3 linked regions of the Schizosaccharomyces pombe genome follow. The protein of the gene in region 3 purifies or fractionates together with the protein of the main gene of each other region. This does not show direct contact. Each region holds a gene or a part of one and is shown on either strand. Other genes may lie near its edges. The genes, in order: iss10, cbc1 and pir2.

The links.
Region 1: the proteins of pir2 (region 3) and iss10 purify together in Schizosaccharomyces pombe (affinity purification with mass spectrometry; 2 studies listed by BioGRID). This does not show direct contact.
Region 2: the proteins of pir2 (region 3) and cbc1 purify together in Schizosaccharomyces pombe (affinity purification with mass spectrometry; 2 studies listed by BioGRID, with this or other methods). This does not show direct contact.

What each region holds. Positions count from the first base shown.
Region 1 is NC_003424.3:2,609,520-2,613,276, forward strand, and holds iss10 (protein Iss10), read left to right. Parts: upstream 1-1,506; 5' UTR 1,507-1,580; coding exon 1,581-3,236; 3' UTR 3,237-3,483; downstream 3,484-3,757. Other genes in the region: phosphatidylinositol-3,5-bisphosphate binding protein Atg1802, read right to left, coding at 3-772, 829-935, 1,010-1,083, 1,142-1,185.
Region 2 is NC_003424.3:3,226,542-3,230,298, reverse strand, and holds the start of cbc1 (nuclear cap-binding complex large subunit), read right to left. Parts: upstream 1,790-3,757; 5' UTR 1,767-1,789; coding exon 1,516-1,766; exon of another isoform or gene 1,467-1,515; coding exon 1-1,466. Other genes in the region: tda3 (FAD-dependent amino acid oxidase), read right to left, coding at 2,107-2,843, 2,916-3,257, 3,319-3,370. UniProt on the Schizosaccharomyces pombe protein: Component of the CBC complex, which binds cotranscriptionally to the 5'-cap of pre-mRNAs and is involved in maturation, export and degradation of nuclear mRNAs.
Region 3 is NC_003423.3:1,217,573-1,221,329, reverse strand, and holds the start of pir2 (C2H2-type zinc finger domain-containing protein), read right to left. Parts: upstream 1,926-3,757; 5' UTR 1,822-1,925; coding exon 1,758-1,821; intron 1,706-1,757; coding exon 1,598-1,705; intron 1,544-1,597; coding exon 1,513-1,543; intron 1,442-1,512; coding exon 1-1,441. Other genes in the region: peroxisomal targeting signal receptor Pex5, read right to left, coding at 2,515-3,757.

The sequences.
Region 1 (3,757 bases), on a different chromosome or scaffold from region 3:
ACATGTAACGCTCAAGTAAAGCACAATTTCCTCCATTTTTAAGATTTACTGCGAACCGATAATAGTGTCCTGAATAAGAAGCTACTTGTATGTGCGGACCGCTGCTCGAAAAAATTATTTTTCCATAGAAAGAAGCTTCAGGAATCTTAGCAGTTGCAAATTCTTTCCTAGTGTCCCAAACTTTTGCTACATTTGAAGTTAAATATTTTGACCAAGAAGATGACACAGTTACGGAAGATGTAGGAGACGAATTCGGATCCGATGGTTGCTTAGAGATTTTGAAAACGTGAATAGTACCATTTTCAGAAGCACAAGCCAGAAAAGGCTCAACTGGGTGAAATGAGATAGATACAATGGATGCAGGTATATATCCCCTGCGCAATTCTGTCACCAATTCACCATCACTAGTTGTTATAACACGGATTACAGTTCCCTTTGCGGATGCAGTCGCAATCAAATGTCCACGCGGATGAAAGTCAACTACTTGGACAGCGGAAGAATGGCAATGAATCAATGTGACGGGTATTGCAGTATCCAATGAGGCTAAATAAATATCACCAGGGTTGGTCGGTGAATTATATGCAACATAATTCTCATGAACAGCAAAAGCTATAACATTTCCTTTCGAGGTATTTAGAGTATTAATTAATTCCATGTTTTTTAGATTATATACGTAAATACTCCCTTTAATTAAAACAACTAAACGATTCCATGTGAAACGTACACTTAGCACAGGACTCGGATAAAATATTCGGCATAAAACGATATCTCTCTAAAAATATGGGTTAAAATTAAGAAATCAATGCAGAATCTCAGTTAACTAATTACCTTGATGTCAACCAATTTTAGTAACCTCGTCGACTCAGGGGAAATATTCACGAAAGCAAGTAGAGAAGATTCATAAAGCATTTCACAAATACTTGCCCCATTGGCTTCTACAATCAGTAAGTTATAAGTCGTGTAAGATGGGCTTGTGTTTCCACTTCTCGGAAATTCATTGACAGCTTACTTTTTGAAAAGCACAGGGTAAACGGATTGGAGCGATAAACTTGATAGCCATTCTCAGAACCAATTGATAAAAAGCTAAATTTAGCAGTCAGTACAAAGATTGCACAAAATCTATTTTATGTGTGCCACTTACCCACGATCTTGATTCCACGAACAGTAAAGGATAATCGATGGCATTTCTCTTAAATCGACTGTTAATTTATTTAGTAGTTCACATTCACCCCTGTCTTAATACAATTGCTGATCACGTTCAATGGTAAAAGTAAAACAGATTTGTGCTAAGGCAGTGTGCGTAATTGAAGCAAAAAATAATGTGATTCGTACAATGCAAAAGCTTAACTTTGTAGTATCCAGAATATAAAAGAACCCATTTGAGCCTTTAGCAATTTTGATTAATGAATGTTTTTGTTATGTTTGTATTATGCAAGATAATATATACAGTGGTGCAGCGCTCCTTAATGGTCACCTCTACGCACATTCAAGAGCGTATATCTTGGCAACATCCAAATGTTGAATAAAACTTTTTTTGGGAATTCATGAATTTTTATTGTTTTGGTTAAATTTAAATATTAATGGATGCCGTTGAACCTTCTGTGGAGAAGGAATACAAAAAAATAATTTCTTTTAGAGATACTGTGTTTGAAGGGAAACATCAACAATTTTTGGTTCCGAACAATGTTCGTTTAAAATTTTTAAGAGATAGATTACATAAATCTTTAAAAAATTTTGATTCTGTTAAACGGAAAGTCGAAATTGCAAATGATGAAGGTAATAACAAACTCCTGAAATCATCACCCAAAGCACAAACCAGAGATGAAAATACTCCTTCTGAATTTAAGAATGGAGGTTTTAGTAACAGAGAATCTATGTCCGAAAACTGTTTTTCTAAATCATCTACTAATTTACCACGGCTAGACATTAACCGTGATTTTAATTCCTTACTTAATAGTCAAACAAAACCTGAAGCCACTGGTTTGATGAAAGAGGATATTACTCCCGTTGTAAACACTAGCAAACAATCTTCTACTGGGACTCAAGAGGAGTCCTCAAAACCGGAAAAATCTAATAAATTGTTAGCAAAGAGTACTTTATCTTTGTATGGGAATCAAGCTTTTAATCCTTCTTCAGTTCTTCCTAGCAATTCTTCATCAACGCCTAAGGAAAATAAAAAAAATGTGAATAAAGAGACATATCAACCGAACACTTTTCGCCGTAGTCCGTTGAAAAATGATACTGGATCAGTGGAGTTATCAAACCTGTATATGCCGTCTCCACCATCATCTGCGCTTCCCGTATCGCTTGTGTCAGCTCCTTCTCCTCCGAGGGCAACTAACGTTGCAGTCCCGTGTCTTAAACATTTGGAATCGAGTGAGCAGGGCAATAACCTACTTATTAACAAAGCTTTTACTTCTCCTCGCCTTCCTTCACCTCCCCAGTCAACAAGACCTAGCTCTACTAGGTTTCCTTCGGTTCCTTTATCAGATGAAAAAAACTCAATTGTCTCCGTAAAAAACGAAGAGCCGTCTGTCATTCTGGGAAATCAATCACCAATTTCGGATTTGCATCCGTATTCTCCATCTTGGATCCCCTATCCAAAGGAATTGCAATCGCTACAAGTCAATCGAATACCTGAGTTGTCCTTGGAGAACAATGTCATGTCAACTCGGGATTATAAGGATATAATGCCTCACCCTCGTCCTTCTGCTGTCCTTTTAGATAAACCGGTTTCTTTAGATCAAACTTCTCATCCTTTCCCTCATCAAAATACTTATATTCTACCTCCGGGGATAAGGAATTCTGTAGACTATGACGGCACTTTTCTTTCCCGTAAATCGCTTCCTCCTTATAATGGCATTCATCGTCTTCATGAGAGCCCTTCTCAGTTTTCAAATCAATCAAGATATAATTGGGAGCCAATTTTAGAAAATCGCTCCCTGCTCCATTTGAATCGTCCGCCTCCTATTGAAACGCACTATTCATACGAATCTAACAATTCATCGTTTTCTCCGTATTACCATAAACGGCATAGACAGATTTCTCCATACTACCCCACTTCCTCAGTTTATGGAGTTTATGAAAGTCCGCCTCACATGTCTGATTCTCGTATTTCTCGGCAGCATATGCCTTTAACGCATACTACTTATGAGCCTTCTGCGCCTTATTATAACGACTATGAATTAGCAGAGGAAATTGAGAGGCGTCGTCATCATAGCTTTTATGATTATTAGCTATACTCTTCCGTAAGTGCGCGCAACAATTTAAAAATTGCTTGGCGGAATATTTGAATTTGCATGTTTTTGTTTTAACTTATAAAGAAAATTAAGTACCTTTAGTACTGGTAATGTTTGATGTACATTTATTATAGTAGATAGAATATTCATGTTGCATAAATTGGTTTCGCACTTTCAGTTAACATTTTCAAATTCATTTATACATAAATACTTTTTTAGATGATTAATAAGAGGCGTTTCATAAATAGTATAAGTACTTTGTAAGCCTATTCTAATGGATGTGAATAAACAAAGAGACTATGGATTATGTGAATAGTTATATTACTTTCTTATTCGATAATCAAATTTTAAAGCTCCCAAATGCAAGATTATTGAAGAAATTTTGAAAAAGTTTCTTTAGTTAACATTAGCATGTAAAAGACACATAAACCCTAATTGACTGTAACATAAGAGACCTTTTACTTACGTCTACAGCGATTATTCTACTGGACTTAATAAAAGCAAAATTCGGACGGTCG
Region 2 (3,757 bases), on a different chromosome or scaffold from region 3:
TCGAACCCAAGCTATAAGCACAAGACATAACTAATCGGACAGCAGATGTCTCGGAGTTTTGAATCTCCTCGCTCTGCAAAATAATGTCAAGTTCTTCTAACGGTTTATGTAATCTCAATGCTTCGATAATTTGACTTGACTGTTGATATAGCGGATGAGTCTCATTTTCGTACACGAAATTGGGACCCGACGGTTGTTCGCCAAGCAAACAACGTAACTCTTCAGGGAGTGAGTCAGAAATTCTTGTGTAATAGCTTAAAATAAGTTCCCTAGTAATAGTTTCCCGCATAAAAACTTTTTTTGGATGAAGATCGTCCAGCTCAACGTCAGGAATCCACTCATTCCACTTCCAGTGAAAGTTGAAATTACTAAGGTGATGTGAAAACCAGTCAATAAATCGATCAAGTGTTTGTAAAGGTAAATCAGAAGACATGGTATACATTAGCCGAATGACCCTTCCAAAAGTTGGAGCCAAAATTTTAGGAGCGATACGGCAGCATTCAATCAAAAGCGAATGATAATAGACAGGTTTATACGTAGTATTCTGTGAACCAAGAAGCTCACCCAAAACAGCTTCAACTATGATATCTTCTGCTTTCCAACGTGATTCCGATGGATCTAAATTTGGTAATTCATTTACTGGAGTACCACGAAGAGCAAAAGTTTTGTAGGTAAAATAAACATCTAAATCTGTAAGAACTTGAGCAGCCTCAACTCGGTTAAATTCCAAATGGTTTATAACATCCACACTTATATCACGAAATATGCTGGCTGCAACGTCGGAAGCGTCAGGAGTCGTGCGAATTTCAAAGTTATTAAAAAGCTCAAAAAATCTCTTGAAGGAAGGTAGCTCATTTTGCTGAGGAGTGGGCTGAAACGTCCATTCAGGAATACTTGGGCTAACCGGAACAATATGAACGAAATCAGATTCAAAAAACTTCCAGGGTTGAGATATATAAGGAAAAGTAAAGTCGTTTTCCCGAGATAGAATTAGTTGTTTATAGAGTAAGTCCAATTCCTCCTCTGAAAGATTGTCATGTATTGAAAGGGGATTACTTAGAGTTATCGAAGATTTCCTATGACGAACGTAAATCTCACATTGATCCAGTATCTCATTAGCAAAATCCTTTTTACCGAGATCGTTGTTAGCTGCGATGAAATATGGAAGGTTTATCAAAATTATGCGCAGGAAATTATCTCCCCAGACACTGGGTTTGGTTTCTTTTGAGATAGCGTCAGCCAGTAATGAAAATAGTGGCTTAAGGGTACCTGGTTGAAGTGCAAATGACATGCAAATGAGCATTCGTAGATCGACTTTAGCCTCGTAATAAAGAAAGGAGTTTAAATTCGTAAAATACTGTAAACAAAAATACGCAGCTGCTTTTTCTAAGATTAAAGGAACCCTTAATGAGGCTCTTATAATTAATGTAGCCAAATGAGGTATTTTGACTGGAATGATAAATGCACTAAGGATTAAATTAGTTTTCTGAAGGGACAGTATAAATTATCACTTACGTTGTCTGAATGCAATCTAAGATAGTTGAAATGGTTTCAGGATCATTAGCTTCACGACTAAGAGACATAGCAACATAATTAATGTCATCAGCAGCTACTGAATTTCCTCGAGGATCCGCCAAAAAGGTAATATCCTTTTTTATACGCGCTGCAAGTAGCTCTTGAGAGTTTCCTCTATGGGGACGAAATCCATAATTCTCTCCCTCTCTCGTCCTCTTTCTGGGTCGAGTTGATCCCCGATAAGAAGACATTTTGTGAGGAATGTTAGTGTCTTACTGTTGTTGGCGTATAGCAGAATTGTAAAAACACGAGCAAGTGTTCTCAAGTAACAATCAACTTAGAGGTAACGAATGGTATACTAAGTCGAGATGGAAATTGTAAAACAAAAAAAAAGAAAATCGATTTTCCAATGCGATAAAAACGAAAACCTTAATAAATATGATTAGAAAATTTTACAACACTGTAATATTCTATTTCGGTAAAGGAATAAGCATCCATTCTGCTTCTATATTTTCACCTTTCAGTGAATGAGTCCTTCGTTTTTTTTGACAAACAATTAAAACAAAAATTAGAGGATATAATTTGAAATCCTCATTCACCGAGATTTAAGTGAAAAGGATCTGTGTTTATGCTTGTTTTTTCCTTGCCAAGGAGCATTTCTGCCATACATAAACCCGTGGCAGGAGCTTGAGTTATCCCCCAGTTGGCGTGACCCGCTGCAACAAATACACCAGACTTGGTTGTTGATATTATCGGGATACCTGTTATTCTACTGGTAGGAAGGAACTTAAAAGATGCGTCTAAGTAGTTACTCTTCGTATTCTCCGAGAGCACCAAATCGGTCATTTCTTTCAATTCGATAATTTCAAAAGGATTAAAAAAACATCGATTACTATCTTTTGGCAGCAAATGGAATTTTGGAGTTCCCATAAAAATAAGCTGCTCCCGGTTTTTACTGAAAATTTCGGTTGTTTTGCAAATGTTTAGATTACCCATGGTATTTAAACAACACACAACAATGCTGTCGCCAACGGGAAAATTTCCTACCGATAGGTGAATTATGGGAATGCATAGACCTGCAATACCAGTAAATGGTAATAGATAACCAGTCCAAGGCCCAGCACTCACCAGCGTTTTATGCACCTGTGCTTTTATTATTGTATCTTCAGCTTCTTGTTTTGGAACGTATGTAATATGGTGTTTACTAACCTCTTTCACACTTCCAAATATAAACTTTACTCCTCGTTTTTCTATTTCTTTTGCCATAAATTGACAAAACAATTTTGGATTGATCATTGCAAAATCGTTGCCGGAACCGATACTAGAACCTAAATGGTTAGTCTCTATATGACTTATACAATAAAGTTATTATTTTTTTTTGGTAGCACTTATGAGCTTACATTTTTGCATGCGCTCTCGTTGAAGCCATTGCAAAGTATCGGGAACTTTGGCAACATTGGTATTGTCCCATTTCATCTTACAAAACCAAGAATTGGCAGTCCTATATTCCCAGTTTTTCTTCCCATCAAATTTTTTATCCAATCCTTCATAAAGCTTCAAAGCGAGAGTTGAAAGTGGCTGTATGATTTCATTCTGGCACAGTTTTGTCAAGATTGCAGAATCAATGCCGGAGCTACCTCCTGCTATTTCTTTTGATTCAAATATAAATATGTCCAATTCTCCTTTTTTGTATTCTTGTTCTTCTGTTAAGTAAAACGCCGTACAAATTCCAATAATGCCACCTAAAAATCATCGTCAGCATGCTCACTCATCATTTATGAAACTGTTGTTCTCCAAAATTACCTCCTACTATTCCTATCTTTGTCTTATTTCCTTCTCTACTTGTAGCGCTCATATTTGAAGTTGGAAAGTTGACTTGAAACACAATCATCTTGCTGTAACGCTTCTAAACATTACGTTATCCTCACCAGTATTTCCTTCAATCTCTCTTATTTTTTTACCATTTTGAGAATAAAATAAATAGCAATAATAATAATAACAAAACGGTTCAATATTCAACAGTTTTTGCCATTCAGAATGCCTTTCATAAATTGCTATGGCGAGATATACGATTCTTTCATGAATACCAAACGATTGTAAAAAAGGAAAAAAATTACAAAATACTCCTCCTAATCTATAAAGTCAAGTTCGCATAAACAAACGGATTTTTAAATTTTTGAAATGCCAGATTCACATTCTTCAGATAGTTTACATATTATTTACACATGCCTTAATTAAAATT
Region 3 (3,757 bases):
ATTTCTGAAACCAACGTAGGGCTTGTTTAAAATCTGTAAGGATACATACGACGTGCTTACCACTTTGGGATCCATAGCCCTACATGGGTCAAGCACATATCCATAGAGACATATAGCCACCTTTTTAATGTGATCCAACCAATCCTTATGCTTTTTATTTATATGCTTTCTGACAAACTCAGGTCCTAAGAAAAGCTTCGCGCATGTTCCGACATGACACCTATATTTTTGTTCATCTTCTTTCATAATAACAGAGTCCAATTCGTTATTAATAAAATCTTCAACGGGTAATGCCCCTTTTGCTTTAATATCCACATTTTCAGGCTCAAGAAGGCAAGCAAAATTGTTTTCCAAATCTGACAACCAAATATTTTCTTCTTGACCGACTTCTTTGGATGGATTAAACTTTTTCCGCGAGTAACCTGCAGGACTATCCTGCAGTAAAGCAATTAAACTTTCGTACTCTTTACTAGTCCAGAAATCAAAAGTAGCCACTTGGCGAAGATACTCGGCGTACAGATCACTTAAACGAATGTCATGAAAATTCGTCGGCTTATCATCGTCATCTTTCATAGATGCATGTGTTTTCAATCGATCTTCGATACGTTGTGCAGCATCATTTGGTAAACTATACTTCGTACTAGCCCGATCTATAAAACGGATTAGTTTTTCTAGCAAATTTTTACATGTCTGCTCAGAAGAAGCGATTTCAAAAATAGGTATGGGATGCGTGTGAGTAGGAATTTTTGGATTTTCAGATTCAATAGTAAAATTTGAATCCAATTGAATCCCATCCACCGCTTCTTTAGCTCCATCCATATTTGTTCCTGCTTTGAAATGAACCCAAAGTGAGCGTTCATCATTCTTGATTAAATTAATAGTAGAAAGGGAAAAATGTTGTACGAACGAAATACCATCGAGTGCATTATGAATTTGCGCAACCGAGATGTTGGGCAAAACATGACTGACCAATAGTGTATTTTCCATTGCATCGTTTCGAGAGTCTTGGTTCCATTTGGAAAGTTGCGGGTCGTTAGAAGGAAGAATTGAGTCATCTGTATCATTATCAGGTATTGACGGCTTTTCGATTACATCCTCAGCGGTTGGAAGCTGAAAATCATCATAATAACCGGCGTCTAATCTGTCCATGAATTTATCGTATAACGCCCGGCGATAAGATTTCTCATTTTCAGACACTTCAAGGACTCTTCCTTGTGACTCGTCCACCCAATAGCTGTCTTCAAACCAAGCTTCGTCACAATGGCTCTCAACAAAACTTCTTGCGGTCCTAGCGTATAGATCCTGTTTATAATTGTTGTAAGTTCCATGAAGCGAGTTGTATAAGTCTTCAGTTGTTGCGGATATATGGTTTTCCTTGCTATACCACCGAATAAACCGTTCATAAGAAACCGCATTTGTTTGAGTATATGGATCAATTAAACTAGTCTCCTTGTTAGAAAACTTTGGTTTTTCACTCACATCGAGTAGAGTATTTATTTAGTCGTAACTTACGGTTTAGTAAATGTAGGGTAAGGTCCAGAAGCTAGACGTATTGTAGTTAATAGGTCAATTCATAGAATTTTATATTTATTCTTACCTCTTGTTCTATCATCATAGTAATTACCACGCTTTCGTAGAGGAGACCGTTCTCGATGATACGCAGACTGTTCACCAGGGGGGCTCTGTGAACGTCTTTGACTCCGTTCTATGCAAAAAAAGGATGAGTATTTCTATCAAACTAAACATTAACAACTTACCAGGAGAGCGTTCTCTTTTCCAACGACTGTACTCTACTTCACTTTCTTGATGGACCTCACTCATATTTTGACACTGTTCCCCTTCTATAAATACCAGCAATCGGGATTAATTTATTAAAAAACTAATGATTTCAATTGGGTCAAAATTGGTACTCAACCTGCTTAGTTGAAGAATGTTCTTACGAGAGAGAAATATCCATACAGCACTTTATGCTGGTACACTAAGTTTCATTATTCAAAATATAGAAAATTGTCAAATACTTTATTATACGCATCAGTATATCTAAATAAACTGAGATTATAAAAGCAAATGATTAAACAAAAAAGTGAGACTTCGAATTTTATGCGAATGCTATTGAACAATTAATACTAAACATTGTCTCATTATCGTCAATAAATACAATGTTGGATTACTTAAAAAACTGTGCTTACAAAGAGCTTAGAAGCACTCTCACAAAAGTAAACAATAACATCTGTTTTCAAATCACTGAAGATCTAATTTCCATTGTATAAACGGTCAAGAAAGGTACAACTTGCATACCAATAGTAACTTTGGTAGCATAGAGTAAGATTTCTTTTACTTTTGTTCTCTGCTTCAGATATTGAAGCGTAAGTTATCTCATTTCTTGTGCAACAAAAAAAAAGTAGCTTTTGCACGTCCTCTAAAAGATATGCCTCAGACAAAAAATTTAAAAAAAAAAACAACCAAATAAATAATAACATGAAAAATGAATTAAGCACGTTTGCTTTAAGAGATTTATTCGAGCTCAACACCGGGCCAACCTTGGAGATCACTTAACTGGGCTCGTATATAACTAGTGTTTGCTCCAGGATAGGACTGAGAGGCAAGATCAGTACTTTGGAATCCAATCAAAAATACTTTGCGAAGCATTTCCCAAAGTTCCTCATTTGATTCGCAGCTCTCCATTGAGGTAGAACTGTTTTGTATAATATCAATTGCAGCAAGTAGATGTTTTGCAGCATCTTCAAAGTATCCTAAATTGATGTTGGAAACAGCCATGTTTGAGCGAACTCGAACATACTGGGGCTGTAGAGATACTGCCCGATTATAGGAAGAAACAGCTTCAGTATTTTTTTCTGCATTTGTTAAAGCAGCACCAAGCTTATTCCACAATATTTCGTTACTTGGTTCGTCTTGAAGAGCTTGCCGAAAACAATCTGCAGAACGCTCATACTCCTTCAACATATACATAATTATTCCTAATCCAGCTTGTACCTTGGAGGAACGCTTCTTAGCAAGTGATAACTCATAAGCTACATCCAAGAAATACATCTGCATTTTCAAGAGATCGTTAGCAGAATCTTTCTCTTCAAACCTTTCGTTTATCTTTGCAAACCTGTTTCGGTATTGGGGAAAACTGTTGACTATCCAGTCTTCTAAGCAAACCAATGCCTGAACATTTAGAGACTGATTAACATAAGACACAGCAAGATCCATCATTAAGTCAAGATTGGTTGAATCCAATTTGACAGCTTCAAGTAGGGCTTCAACAACCCGCGATTCGTTTCCCAATAGAGTATGAATGCGACCTAACCATTTCCAGGCCTCGAAGTGCTGTGGATTCTCTTTCACAGATTGTTCCAATAACACAGCTGCTTTCGAGATAGATCCTCCATTTTTTATTAAATTCATGGCTTCAACAAATGGATCTATTCCGTTTAGCTCTTTCACAACCTCTGAAGATTCATCTTGGTTCTGTGAATATACATCTTCCGTTTGTAAAGAGTTTTCAACAACGTTATCAGTATCGCTATGCTGGAAAATTTGAGGATCTATGTTTTTATTATGAGCTAAATTATCATTAGCAAAGCTATTCACAGACGAAGTGTAAGGATCGTCAGAAATATTGTTTGACTTTAAAAAATCTTCCCATTGTTTCTGGTATTCCTCTAAACTTGCGGGCTCTAGCCCGGCGTTTTTCAATTGCTTTTGATGCTCTTCCCATAGCTCCTCAATTGATTTACTTCCAGTAGCATCC